Linked DNA regions of Arabidopsis thaliana. The protein of the gene in region 1 interacts with the protein of each later gene in a pairwise test. Each region holds a gene or a part of one and is shown in the gene's direction. Other genes may lie near its edges. The genes, in order: PDX2, RSR4 and PDX1.1.

Region 1 (4,331 bases):
CGTATAAGTTCATTAGTTTCTCTCACTGGAATGTGTCTGCAGATTAATCCATTATCTAATCTATATTTCAAAATTTCCTCAGATCGTTTAGAGCGGCTCTTCTGCTCTACTTCTTCTTCATCTTCTTCTTCTTCTCCTCTTGCAGTGCTAGTTACATCACTATCACAGGAATGTGTATCATCATCGTAGGGCTTAGGCGATTGTTGGTTTCTACTACCAGAACTGCCAAAGCATCCAAAGCAACCGATGGTACGGGCAAACAAAAAACTATCACGAAACATGATCTCCTTCTCAAAAATAAAATAAAAAAACAAATTGCTCCTCAAATGTATGATGAAATATAAAATCCTCAAGTTAACTGAGGAACCTGCACACAAAAAAAAAAGTGACATCAACATTAAGCATCCAAATAATTAAACACAAGAACCTCTGTAGAAATCGAAATCTTACCCCGCGATAAAAGGGGTTTCGAGGGCTTCAAGCCCGGAGAACTTGACTATTCCAAAGGATGCCATTCAGCGAGATGAATAAGACAACTTGAGACATCATAACCACTGCAATCGAAACACGACATGTCTAAGACTGAAACCTTATAAATAAGTTATATTCCTTCTTCACGAGCAGAAAATCGTTGAATGCATAGCCCCAATTGTTAATAGCTACACAGCTTCAACAACCGCCAATAAATTCAAGTTGAACTACAATGCTTCTGCGAAAAAAGAAAAGGTCAAATTCTCATCAAATTCAAAAGCTTGTGTAGATAAGTCAATCACATTGTGGGTATTATGATTCAGGCGTAAAGGTGTAAACTTTTTCAATCCAAATAGTCAACTCTAAGCAAAGAAACAAAGACGGAGAGAAGAACAATAAAATTCTACAGCAAACTTAAGAACCCCCAAGAAGGTGGCTTCAAAATCACATAAATCACAAACCAAAATTTTGAAAATTGAAAAAAAAAAACCTAATTTCGAAATCGGATGCAATGGAAATTTCATGAGAAGATTCGGAACATAAACTGAAGGTAAGAGCGAGAATCATACATTAAAGCTGGTTGTGAATTCGATCGGAGCAGAGGAAGACAACAAGATCGCAAAGGAAAGAGCTCTCTCAACGTCGTGCGTGAGAGATTTAGACACACCAAAAAAAAAAGAGAGAGCTTCGAAGCCTTTGATCGAGATTCTCTCCCCCTTCTGTTTTTTTTTTTTTGGGGTTTATATTTTTTGTTTTGTCAATTACTTTTATAAAAAGTAGTTTTATATTAAATCATCACCAGCTAATGTGACAAAACATGCTATAAACTAAATTCAGTGGTTAGAAAACAATAAAATTACTACTAATAAAAAAAAACACATTATGAGTTTTTGAAAACCTACCTTTACTATAAGTTTTTTTTTGTGTGTATATATAATATTATATCATCATCTTTAAAATTTTGTAAAATAGATTACAATTTTTCCTAGAGAATTTGAATTATAATCACATAAAAGCTTAATAAGTGTATATTTTTGTTTTGTTAGCATAATTGTTTATGGCTTTTTAATTGAATTTGTTCACAATAGTTATTAATACCGTGATATCTTTATATTTAAAAATGTTATTATAAGAAAATATCTGAATAGAAATCCAAATCGTGGGCAAAGAAAGAAACACAAAACAAAATCGTCGATGGCTGTTACAAAAAGGCTTTTGTGAGTGTCCCAATTCCATTCACAAAGTTTTAGTGTTTAATAATATCTGACACTCTCTTTCTTTGACCGTCGCCGCCGCAATGACCGTCGGAGTTTTAGCTTTGCAAGGTTCTTTCAATGAGCACATCGCGGCTCTGCGGCGGCTCGGTGTCCAAGGCGTCGAGATTAGGAAGGCTGACCAGCTTCTCACCGTTTCTTCTCTTATCATTCCTGGCGGCGAGAGCACCACCATGGCCAAACTCGCCGAGTATCATAACTTGGTCCGCTCCTCTCTCTCTAGAATCTAAAGTTATTGTTTGCGAGGACCCACTTGAAGAAACTAGTTAAAGGTTCCTTTTTTATGTGTGTTTTGACACGAATCTGGCGTTATTCACCAAAATTCTCCAGAATTTCAGTCAAAACGTCTCTTATACCTGAATAATTCAGTTAGTACTGTTGAAAGTAATTAGCTTTGAGATTGAAAATGAAGGAACTTTGGGATTAGTTAGCCTTCAAGTACATGAAGTAATGTTTTGTATCTGAAACCTTTAAACATTGTGGACCAAACTACTCGTTGATCTTATGGATGATATTTTCTGTCTTTAATGGAAGCTGTGATAAGTGTAGGAAAGGGAGAGCTATCATTTACTTTTATCTTTACCAAACTCCTTGTTTAGATTTGGTTGTTTTTACAGTTTTAGTGGTGAGGACGAAGAATAGTGTAAAATGTCTCTTCTCTGTTCTAATTTTCTTTCATTTGTTGCTCTTTTGAAGTTTCCGGCTCTACGTGAGTTTGTTAAGATGGGGAAACCTGTTTGGGGGACATGCGCAGGTCTTATATTCTTGGCAGACAGAGCAGTTGGTGAGTACTTGAATTCATCTTCCTGTTGCGGAAAATTTAGAAACTTGAGTAAATGTTGAAATTTTAGGTCAGAAAGAGGGAGGTCAGGAATTAGTTGGTGGCCTTGATTGCACCGTACATAGGAACTTCTTCGGTAGCCAGGTTATGTCTCTTACCAAGATTCCGGGTTCATGTTAAGAAAATGTGTAAACACATATTTAAATCAATCTTGACTTGCAATATGTGGAAAAAGAAACTGCTTATATTAGCATGAGTTGTGGTGTACTGATATATAAAACTCGGTCTTTTCATGAATCAATGGGAGTAATTTCATATGGATTCTCATTCACTCTTAGTATCAAATAAGATGTTGTGAAAATCTTAGATTGTTCTCGAATTTGTTTTTGATGTGTAGATTCAAAGTTTTGAAGCTGATATCTTAGTACCTCAACTAACATCTCAAGAAGGTGGGCCAGAGACATACAGGGGAGTGTTCATACGTGCTCCAGCTGTTCTTGATGTAGGTCCTGATGTCGAAGTCCTGGCGGATTATCCCGTCCCATCAAACAAGGTCTTGTATTCAAGCTCCACCGTACAAATTCAAGAGGTTTGCTTAATTTTGCACTAATTTTCATGAAACGATTACTCTTTTGTGAGCACATGTATGAATCCCTTCTTGTTGGTTTCATTTTTTGGGGATAAATCAGGAAGATGCTCTTCCTGAAACAAAAGTCATTGTTGCTGTGAAGCAAGGAAACTTGTTAGCAACTGCTTTTCATCCCGAGCTTACTGCAGACACTCGATGGTAATTGATTAACATTTTCCCCGATCTTTTGATATTTGCAGCAATGATCTATATGGTCTGTTTTTACTCTTTCCGGTTTCATTTTTTTTGCAGGCACAGTTATTTCATAAAGATGACGAAAGAGATTGAGCAAGGAGCTTCTTCAAGCAGTAGTAAGACTATTGTATCTGTTGGAGAAACAAGTGCTGGTCCCGAGCCAGCTAAGCCTGATCTTCCTATATTTCAATAACTGAACAGAGAGAAGATACACACTTCTTAAAATAAAAACCAGAGAAAGTGTCAGATTCTTTATCTTTCTAAAGATGTTTTGGAAAAATTGCAAGCTAGTTTGCAATTTGCACTCAAGAAAGTTTCACAAGACTCTTTAATGGATTCATGTACTTGTTTCTTGATACAACTTTATATATACAGTTGAATCTCAAACTTTTTTGCTGATTCAATTTGGTCTATGTCTTGTGAAATGTGAAAGGTCGTTTGGCCAAGAATTAAGCTTTAGATAACTGTCAGCGTTTATAGGCAGAACAGAACATGCTCTGAAAGTATAACTCGGTAGGGTTTTGGTTCAATGGTTTAGAAGCTAACCCGGTTTATAGTAAACCAGTCAGCTGACTTTGACGCGTTTGACTTTTCATTGCTTTCTCGAAAGGGTGCAATCTTGTAGTAGTGGGCGGCTTTGGGCCAATGAAAGTCAAGAAAAGTTACTTAAAATGCACACATTTACAGATATGTTAAGACATGAGGGCTTTCTTCTTCATTTAAGGCATCCTCACGTTCTAGATACTCGTTTCCTTGCACATAAAGCCATCAAGAATTAATTTTGTTTTTCTTCAGAAAATAGAGAAAATTTTCAAATTTGTATATATAGTGTATAGAAAGATATACAGACCGGATTTTTCAAATTTATTGTATCGATAACCAAAATTTTCACCCTTTTTTATTATTTTTTGTCAACTAAATGAATACTAACTTCACCCTGTTTTCTCATAGTAAATTGCTAATATAATTCAACTGGGAACAA
Region 2 (4,140 bases), about 24 Mb from region 1:
TTCCTCCGGTGATTAGCGTCGTAGAGTATAGACGGAAAGACGAAAATGTCGTCGTTCTTCACAAAGATGATGGAAATGCCCTTCAGATTGTAAATGCGATCAGGGAAGAAGTCATCGGAGAAGAAGACATTGGAAAAGACGGAAATACCCTTATGGATCCGTTGTTGGAATTCGAGGAACGGTGTCCTCCGGGAGGAGAGGAATCCGTTGTTTTCTACACAACGACTCTTCGAGGAATCAGAAAAACGTTCGACGATTGCAACATGATCCGATTTCTGCTGGATAGTTTTAAGGTTAAGTACTACGAGAGAGATGTGTCGATGCATAGAGAGTATAGAGAAGAGCTCCGACGAATCTCAGCGGCGGAAACAGAGGTGTTGCCTCCGGTTCTGTTCGTAAAAGGAAGGTGTATCGGTGGAGCTCAGAGAGTGTTGGGACTGCACGAGCAAGGGAAGTTTAAGATTCTCTTTGAGGGCATTCCAATCACCGGAGATGAACGTTGCCGGCGGTGCGATGGTTTTAGGTTTTTGATGTGTGATGGATGCAGAGGTAGTCGCCGGATTATCTCTGGTGATGGATCAAGAATTCAGTGTTTGATATGTAATGAGAATGGGTTAATTGTGTGCGTTGGTTGCTCCTAATACCATTTTTTTTGTTTGGTCTATATATATCAAATTACATTATTCGTTTATTATTTTTCTTAGTATTGTAACGATTTTTTTATACAGAAAATAAATATGGTCATCAGTTATATCATATGGTTGTTTCTACACAAATCTCAAGTTATTATTGCCTTAAAAAAGAGTTTGAATTATTGACACGAATTGCACTAAATTTATAGCATTTGTTAATGTTTATAATTATATATGATGTGTATAAAGATTAACATACCGGTGTTAGTAGCAAAATTTTTGCAACATCCACTAAGATTGTCATCCATAAACTACATTTATTTGAGAATTTACCCTTATTATTTGATTTAATCATCGATCAACCACTTAACAAAACGTATTCACTAATTCGATGAATTGCCAAATACTTAAATATCTGAATGGTATAGTTACAGTGAAGTAGTCAAAAGAGCAAGTTGGGCCGCCAGGGTCGGCTGAGTGGACAAATCTACTGATTGCAAAGGAGAGGCGGGCCTTCCTTTTCAACCACAGCCGCCTATTTCTCTATTTACTTTTATCATCACAAACTGCTATTTTTAGATTTTCTTTTTAAGAGATTTTTTCCTTTATTTCAAATTTTTTTTTCTAGGATTATAAAACTTAACGTACTATTGTATAAAAATGAATTTCTCCTACTCCCAAATGTAGTATCTTAAAAATCCCATTCCAAAACGATTGGTTGTAAATTGTTTGATAAAGAAATATAAAGATGTTTGTTATGAAGAAAATGATGCTTTCCATAACATTTTTTCCAAAAGCGTGCAATTCATTTTCTGCTAACATTTTTTCTCCTTGTCTTTTATGCAACAATTAATGCGGACTAGAGCGACAGTCGTGGATTCTATGAGGTCCAGTTACATTTCTTTGTGTCAGAAGATTTTTTTCCAAAATTTTTTCCCTAAAATCTATTTAAAATAAGAAAAAATAAATTGTGAAAACGTTTTAAAACATCATTAACAATGCATTTAACACTTTTATAATCCAATTCCGGACGACTCATTTTTTCTTGTCAAAACCTCTAGTTTAGTTGGCTAAAATCTTAAAATGCAGTCCACTAAACATGTGTTAATCGAAAAATCGAAATTGTGTTTTAATCTTGACCGTCCGATCACAACAAAATCCCACACTTTCCCAAATAAAAATTAAAAATTCAATAATTAAGGAGTTTCTATTTAATTAATAAAAATAGAGAAAAACATCTATTTTATTATTTTAGCTTTTATTCACACCGCCACAAACTCTCACTATAAAGCCGATCCATAGATAAACGAGGACCGGCCAGAAATCGCTTCACCATTCCCAAATCTCTCTTCCATTTTCTCCACACAAATTTCTCTTCAATCTCCGATAATGGAAGGAACCGGCGTTGTGGCGGTGTACGGTAACGGTGCGATAACGGAGGCGAAGAAATCTCCCTTCTCCGTGAAGGTCGGTTTGGCTCAGATGCTCCGTGGTGGTGTTATCATGGATGTCGTCAACGCCGAGCAAGCTCGTATCGCCGAGGAGGCTGGTGCTTGCGCCGTCATGGCTTTGGAGCGTGTTCCTGCTGATATCCGCGCTCAAGGAGGCGTCGCTCGTATGAGCGATCCACAAATGATTAAAGAAATCAAACAAGCCGTTACGATTCCGGTGATGGCTAAGGCTAGGATTGGTCATTTCGTTGAAGCTCAGATCCTTGAAGCAATTGGAATCGATTACATCGATGAGAGCGAGGTTTTGACTCTTGCTGATGAAGATCATCACATCAACAAGCATAATTTCCGGATCCCGTTCGTTTGCGGTTGCCGGAATCTCGGCGAGGCTCTGAGGAGGATCCGTGAAGGTGCGGCGATGATTAGGACCAAAGGTGAAGCTGGAACCGGTAACATTATTGAAGCTGTGAGGCATGTGAGGTCTGTTAATGGTGACATTAGGGTTTTGCGAAACATGGATGATGATGAGGTTTTCACTTTCGCTAAGAAATTAGCCGCTCCGTACGATCTCGTGATGCAGACTAAGCAGCTTGGTCGTCTTCCTGTAGTCCAATTCGCCGCCGGTGGAGTGGCTACTCCGGCTGATGCAGCTCTCATGATGCAGCTTGGATGTGATGGTGTCTTTGTTGGTTCTGGTATCTTCAAGAGCGGTGACCCAGCTCGTCGTGCACGTGCCATTGTTCAGGCTGTGACTCATTACAGTGACCCTGAGATGCTTGTGGAGGTGAGCTGTGGGCTTGGAGAAGCCATGGTTGGGATCAATCTCAACGATGAGAAGGTTGAGAGGTTCGCTAATCGCTCCGAGTGATCAAAGAAATAAAAGGTAAAATATCTCAGACGAAATGGTTTCAGAATTTTCTCAGACCATTTTGCAGTAATCTCTTTGAAAAGAAGAAGATGATGATATTGTTGGTAGTTTGTATCCTTTGTGTTTTCCTTATAATCTTTGATAGTCTTTTGTTATTGTAACTCGTAATCCCTTTGCAAGAACAAGTTTGTCAGTTATAATAATGTACTACTCTCTTGATCGATCAGTTGGTTTTGAATCTGATATATTCTTCGATCCATTGGTATTGACCATTGAGCTTGTTGTTCAATTACATTTCAGACAGGCCTATTAGTACTTAGTAGTATCAGGTTGATAAACAAAGGATGAACTTGTTTAATTTGGGAATTCGTACACTGGTACTGAGCTCTGTAGATGTTTGAGACTTTGAGTATTGGATTTGGTTTTGAAGAACTGTCCTGGATTAGATTCACATAGCCTCTAGTTCTTATTTTAAATTTGTGATTTCAGGCATAGCTGTCAACCTAACAAAGGAAGATAATATGAGTTGAGTTTTCTTTGTTGTTAACGAGTACTAATCATCGATTTCATGATGTGTGGATTATGGTTTATGGGGGGTTCTTTGCAGCTATGTTTGCATTGTAAATTGGTTTTTATGAAATGCTATGTTAATGTGTGATTAGTAAAGGAGAAGAGTTCATGGGACTCTTCTAGCTTTTAAAATCCATAAGAGTCCTCTAGCTTTGAAAATCCATGGGACTCACTCTTCTAGCTTTGAAAATCCATGGGGCTCTTCTAGCTATGGGATTTCAGATCTCATGCGCGGTAGTAGCATACGATCATCGGAATCCATAGAGCTCTTTTGTTCAAAATCGAGTTCTTGAAGGTCTTACACGACACCATGACTTAGGGATACGAGTATATATCCCTTGACTTCAGCCTCTAAGCTCTTGGCTCTGCCGGATCCAATTTCTCCAAAGAGCATTACTTCAAAGTTCAAAAGGTTCTCACTACTAACAGGTTAATTTTGTTAACCGAGATCAACCAAAATCAAACAAAACTTAACCAAATTGTAAATGTGATTTGATTGCACATCACTCGCATTTTGTCCAAAAAGACTCCGGTAAGACCAGAAACACGGATACAATTTAAATATCAATCGAAATAGGCCCACATCGGCCCATTATTACTGCACATTGGCCTATTTAAT
Region 3 (3,809 bases), on another chromosome or scaffold:
ATAACTTTGAGTGAAGTAAGAGGAAATAGAGGAAGTAGAAGTGTTAATGTTAGTGAGTTTTTTTTGTTTGAAAGTATTGCCTTTTAGGGATATAAACTGACTATGTTAAGGCTCTCAAGTTATAGGAATGCCATTCTTCTATCGGTCGTCGCTGAAGGATATTGCATTTCGTGACACCGCTTGGTCATGGAATCTAATTCAGGGTTAGTCAAATGGAAGTTCCTGCTTAAGATGCATTGATTACATTGCTTATCATGAGTTAATAAAAGTTCTTTACAGGGAGTGGTATGATTCAATTGGATATAAGTAAGTCTAAAGGTTATTATCTTACTGTGGCTAACTTGAAGAGGAAGGACATAGAGGTAATTATAATCAAGTTATGACTTTGGATTAAGTTTTGGTTTCTGTTGTGTTTCTGCACAGTCCACAGTACACTGTTTTACTTGACATAATGTTTGTTCAGGTGGAACTGGATATTGATGTGAAGGCTGTCTTGTATGATACTAAACAAACATCCTACAATTGTTCCTTCAGCAATGGCGAGTGCTCATTCAAAATGAATGAAAGGTACCCTGTTGAAAATTATGCTGTCGTAACTTCACCAGCACTGGGTCAGGTATGTACTCGTAATACGAAACACTAACAATATTGTTACTGTTATTATTATTATGACTCTTAGCTGAATGAATGTTTGTCTCACTGCCTTAGGGAGTATCCATCGATGATGAATGGTATATCGAGTTGTCATATCAACCTAGATTGATTGCATATGGAAGCTTCACAGGTAAACTTTTCAATCTTTTCAAAGTCAACTTGATTATTGGATTTGAGCATTTGTTAGTTTCTCTGTAACAAGGAAGCAATTACATGTAGTATTATTGCGTATGCAGGTGTGTTGCTTTCCTTCATGCTGGTAGCTATACACTTCTGCAACAAGTTAAAGTGCTGTGGTGGAGAGGGATTTTTATCCGGAGATGATTCAGTGAGAACATGTCTACTTGCAGACAAAGGTGACAATGATTGTTGTAATGATGTCGAAGCAAGTAACAAAAGTCTCTGTGCCATTTGTTTTGATGCTCCAAGAGATTGTTGTTTCCTCCCGTGTGGCCATTGCGTCTCCTGTTACCAATGCGGAACAAAGTAAGTTTTTTATCAACTAAGTACAACTTCTGGATTGCATAATTGTAATGGTAATGTGTTTACCATATTGGGATTGATCTAAAATATTGAACGTTGTGATTTGACAATATTTGCAGGATAAAAAGAACCAAGGGGAGGTGTCCAATATGTCGAAAGAAAATGATACATGTGAAGCGAATCTATACAGCTTAAGATGTATCATTATCTGTCCAATGTGATGTTGAATCGTTAGAGCATTAATAAAAATCATATAATTTGATATTGACAAGGCTCAGGTCTTTCTTTGCATTAATTCGTTTCATCTCTTAACCATCTTTGTGACAACATCATTGGTTAACTACCATAGGGTAGGCAATATAGTGAACCATTGTTTGTTGACTCACATCACAAAATGGTTCGAAACCCGAATCGATAATTAAGGATTTCATAAATTAATTGTTAATTTCTGAATAAATTCGGATTTTGTATATTTCCTCCGTTTCGTAATATAAGTAGTTTTGGACCAATTTTTTTGTTTCACAACATAAGTTGTTTTTAACTTTCTATGTAAATAATATATTATTTTAATATTTTTTGATTATTTATATTATGTAATCTCTTTTATGATTAGCTAAACTTTTTAAAAATAAATATTTTTAATTTGCATATTTTTATTTAAAACAACGTATATTGTGAAATGGAAAGAGTATAAATTATTGATTAAATAATTAAGGACTGTAATTTATTTTATTAAATTTAATATTCTTTTCCAAATTCTCCACATATTTTATACCATAAAAAAAGAACAACACCCTTACACACATAACATATCCGAATCAGTGGTTCTTCGACATCACACGATGGTATAGGGAAATGAGCTTCCACGTCAACAAGATAATAATCTCTTCGGGACTATACATTTACAACAAAAAGAAACAAATCTTGTGGTCAAAGTTTCCATACGTAGCTTCTCTTCTCTACACTCACGTCCACCACAATCCTCGTGCTCCTTCCTCTAAACCCGTCCGATTCACGTACTTTTACTATCTTTTCTCAATCCAACAGCTCACAGTCCACAAACAAATTTCAAATCGCGTCCTATAAAATCCCCTCTCCTCTGCTCCACACTCTCTCAAAACCCTAGAAAAAATGGCAGGAACCGGAGTTGTGGCGGTGTACGGCGAAGGAGCCATGACGGAGACGAAACAGAAATCTCCCTTCTCCGTGAAAGTTGGTCTCGCTCAGATGCTTCGTGGCGGTGTAATCATGGATGTCGTCAACGCAGAGCAAGCTCGAATCGCTGAAGAAGCTGGCGCATGCGCCGTGATGGCTCTTGAACGTGTTCCCGCCGATATTCGAGCTCAAGGCGGTGTTGCTCGAATGAGCGATCCAGAGATGATCAAAGAAATCAAAAACGCCGTGACGATTCCGGTGATGGCGAAAGCTAGAATTGGTCATTTCGTTGAAGCTCAGATCCTGGAAGCAATCGGAGTTGATTACGTCGACGAGAGTGAAGTTCTCACTCTCGCCGACGAAGATAATCACATCAACAAACATAATTTCAAAATCCCTTTTGTTTGTGGATGTAGGAATCTCGGTGAAGCTTTAAGGCGGATCCGTGAAGGAGCCGCCATGATAAGAACCAAAGGTGAGGCTGGAACTGGTAACGTTGTTGAAGCCGTTAGGCACGTGAGGAGTGTGAACGGAGCTATTCGGTTACTTAGAAGCATGGACGATGACGAGGTTTTCACTTACGCGAAAAAGATCGCTGCGCCGTATGATTTGGTTGTGCAGACTAAGGAGCTTGGGAGGTTACCGGTGGTTCAGTTCGCTGCTGGAGGAGTGGCGACGCCGGCGGATGCGGCGTTGATGATGCAGTTGGGATGTGATGGAGTGTTTGTTGGGTCGGGTGTTTTCAAGAGTGGAGATCCGGTGAAGAGGGCTAAGGCTATTGTTCAGGCGGTTACGAATTATAGAGACGCGGCGGTGTTGGCGGAGGTGAGCTGTGGTTTAGGTGAAGCCATGGTTGGTCTTAATTTGGATGATAAGGTTGAGAGGTTCGCTAGTCGTTCTGAGTAACCAATCAAATTTCAGATGTTTTTATCCATAACGTTTGTCACTTTAATATGTATCCACAAACCAATATTCTCGATTTATTCAAGATTTTATAGAAAAAAATTGGAAATGAGGAGTTTTGTTGGCTAGTGTGGCCAACCATAATTTCATTGGATTAATGGCAAATTCTACAACTAAACTATGTGAAATTAACAATATCAAACCTCAAGAGAGAGCAGCAATATAATAAGAAAAAGTGAAGATACGGTTTACATATTATTTAGTAACGACTATATCAAGGACATAGGAATAACAGATAATACTTGGAATGTTTATCAATTATTATCTAGTTAATAACAGTGAGTCGACTTGGTTTTTTCCACAAGGACCCTTTTGCCTTATCAGAGAACGGTACTCGTCGAACCTGATTGGTTTATAAAGAGCAGGTCGGTTTGCAGTTACTAGTTCTTCGATTGGTCCAACCGGGATATCACTTCTCGGGTTATAGAAGAATGCCAAAGAGACTCGTTCCATACCGGAATTAACGATCACTTGATGTTCCACGCTTTTGTAAATTCCATTGCTAAGTATCTACACATTGATATATCCATCGGTTAGTATTTAATTTGTAGAGT

Evidence for each region.
Region 2: the proteins of PDX2 (region 1) and RSR4 interact in a two-hybrid assay, tested with the Arabidopsis thaliana proteins (one study listed by BioGRID).
Region 3: the proteins of PDX2 (region 1) and PDX1.1 interact in a two-hybrid assay, tested with the Arabidopsis thaliana proteins (one study listed by BioGRID).

The regions. Positions count from the first base shown.
Region 1 is NC_003076.8:24,336,085-24,340,415, reverse strand, and holds PDX2 (pyridoxine biosynthesis 2), read left to right. Parts: upstream 1-1,613; 5' UTR 1,614-1,768; coding exon 1,769-1,948; intron 1,949-2,441; coding exon 2,442-2,529; intron 2,530-2,596; coding exon 2,597-2,670; intron 2,671-2,923; coding exon 2,924-3,115; intron 3,116-3,215; coding exon 3,216-3,313; intron 3,314-3,406; coding exon 3,407-3,542; 3' UTR 3,543-3,793; downstream 3,794-4,331. Other genes in the region: GRIK2 (geminivirus rep interacting kinase 2), read right to left, coding at 1-281. UniProt on the Arabidopsis thaliana protein: Catalyzes the hydrolysis of glutamine to glutamate and ammonia as part of the biosynthesis of pyridoxal 5'-phosphate. The resulting ammonia molecule is channeled to the active site of PDX1.
Region 2 is NC_003076.8:171,387-175,526, reverse strand, and holds RSR4 (Aldolase-type TIM barrel family protein), read left to right. Parts: upstream 1-1,863; 5' UTR 1,864-2,021; coding exon 2,022-2,951; 3' UTR 2,952-3,638; downstream 3,639-4,140. Other genes in the region: AT5G01420 (Glutaredoxin family protein), read left to right, coding at 1-641. UniProt on the Arabidopsis thaliana protein: Catalyzes the formation of pyridoxal 5'-phosphate from ribose 5-phosphate (RBP), glyceraldehyde 3-phosphate (G3P) and ammonia. The ammonia is provided by PDX2.
Region 3 is NC_003071.7:16,009,207-16,013,015, forward strand, and holds PDX1.1 (pyridoxine biosynthesis 1.1), read left to right. Parts: upstream 1-2,026; 5' UTR 2,027-2,268; coding exon 2,269-3,198; 3' UTR 3,199-3,309; downstream 3,310-3,809. Other genes in the region: APD3 (RING/U-box superfamily protein), read left to right, coding at 111-203, 280-362, 464-616, 709-784, 891-1,140, 1,257-1,332; AT2G38240 (2-oxoglutarate (2OG) and Fe(II)-dependent oxygenase superfamily protein), read right to left, coding at 3,517-3,765. UniProt on the Arabidopsis thaliana protein: Catalyzes the formation of pyridoxal 5'-phosphate from ribose 5-phosphate (RBP), glyceraldehyde 3-phosphate (G3P) and ammonia. The ammonia is provided by PDX2.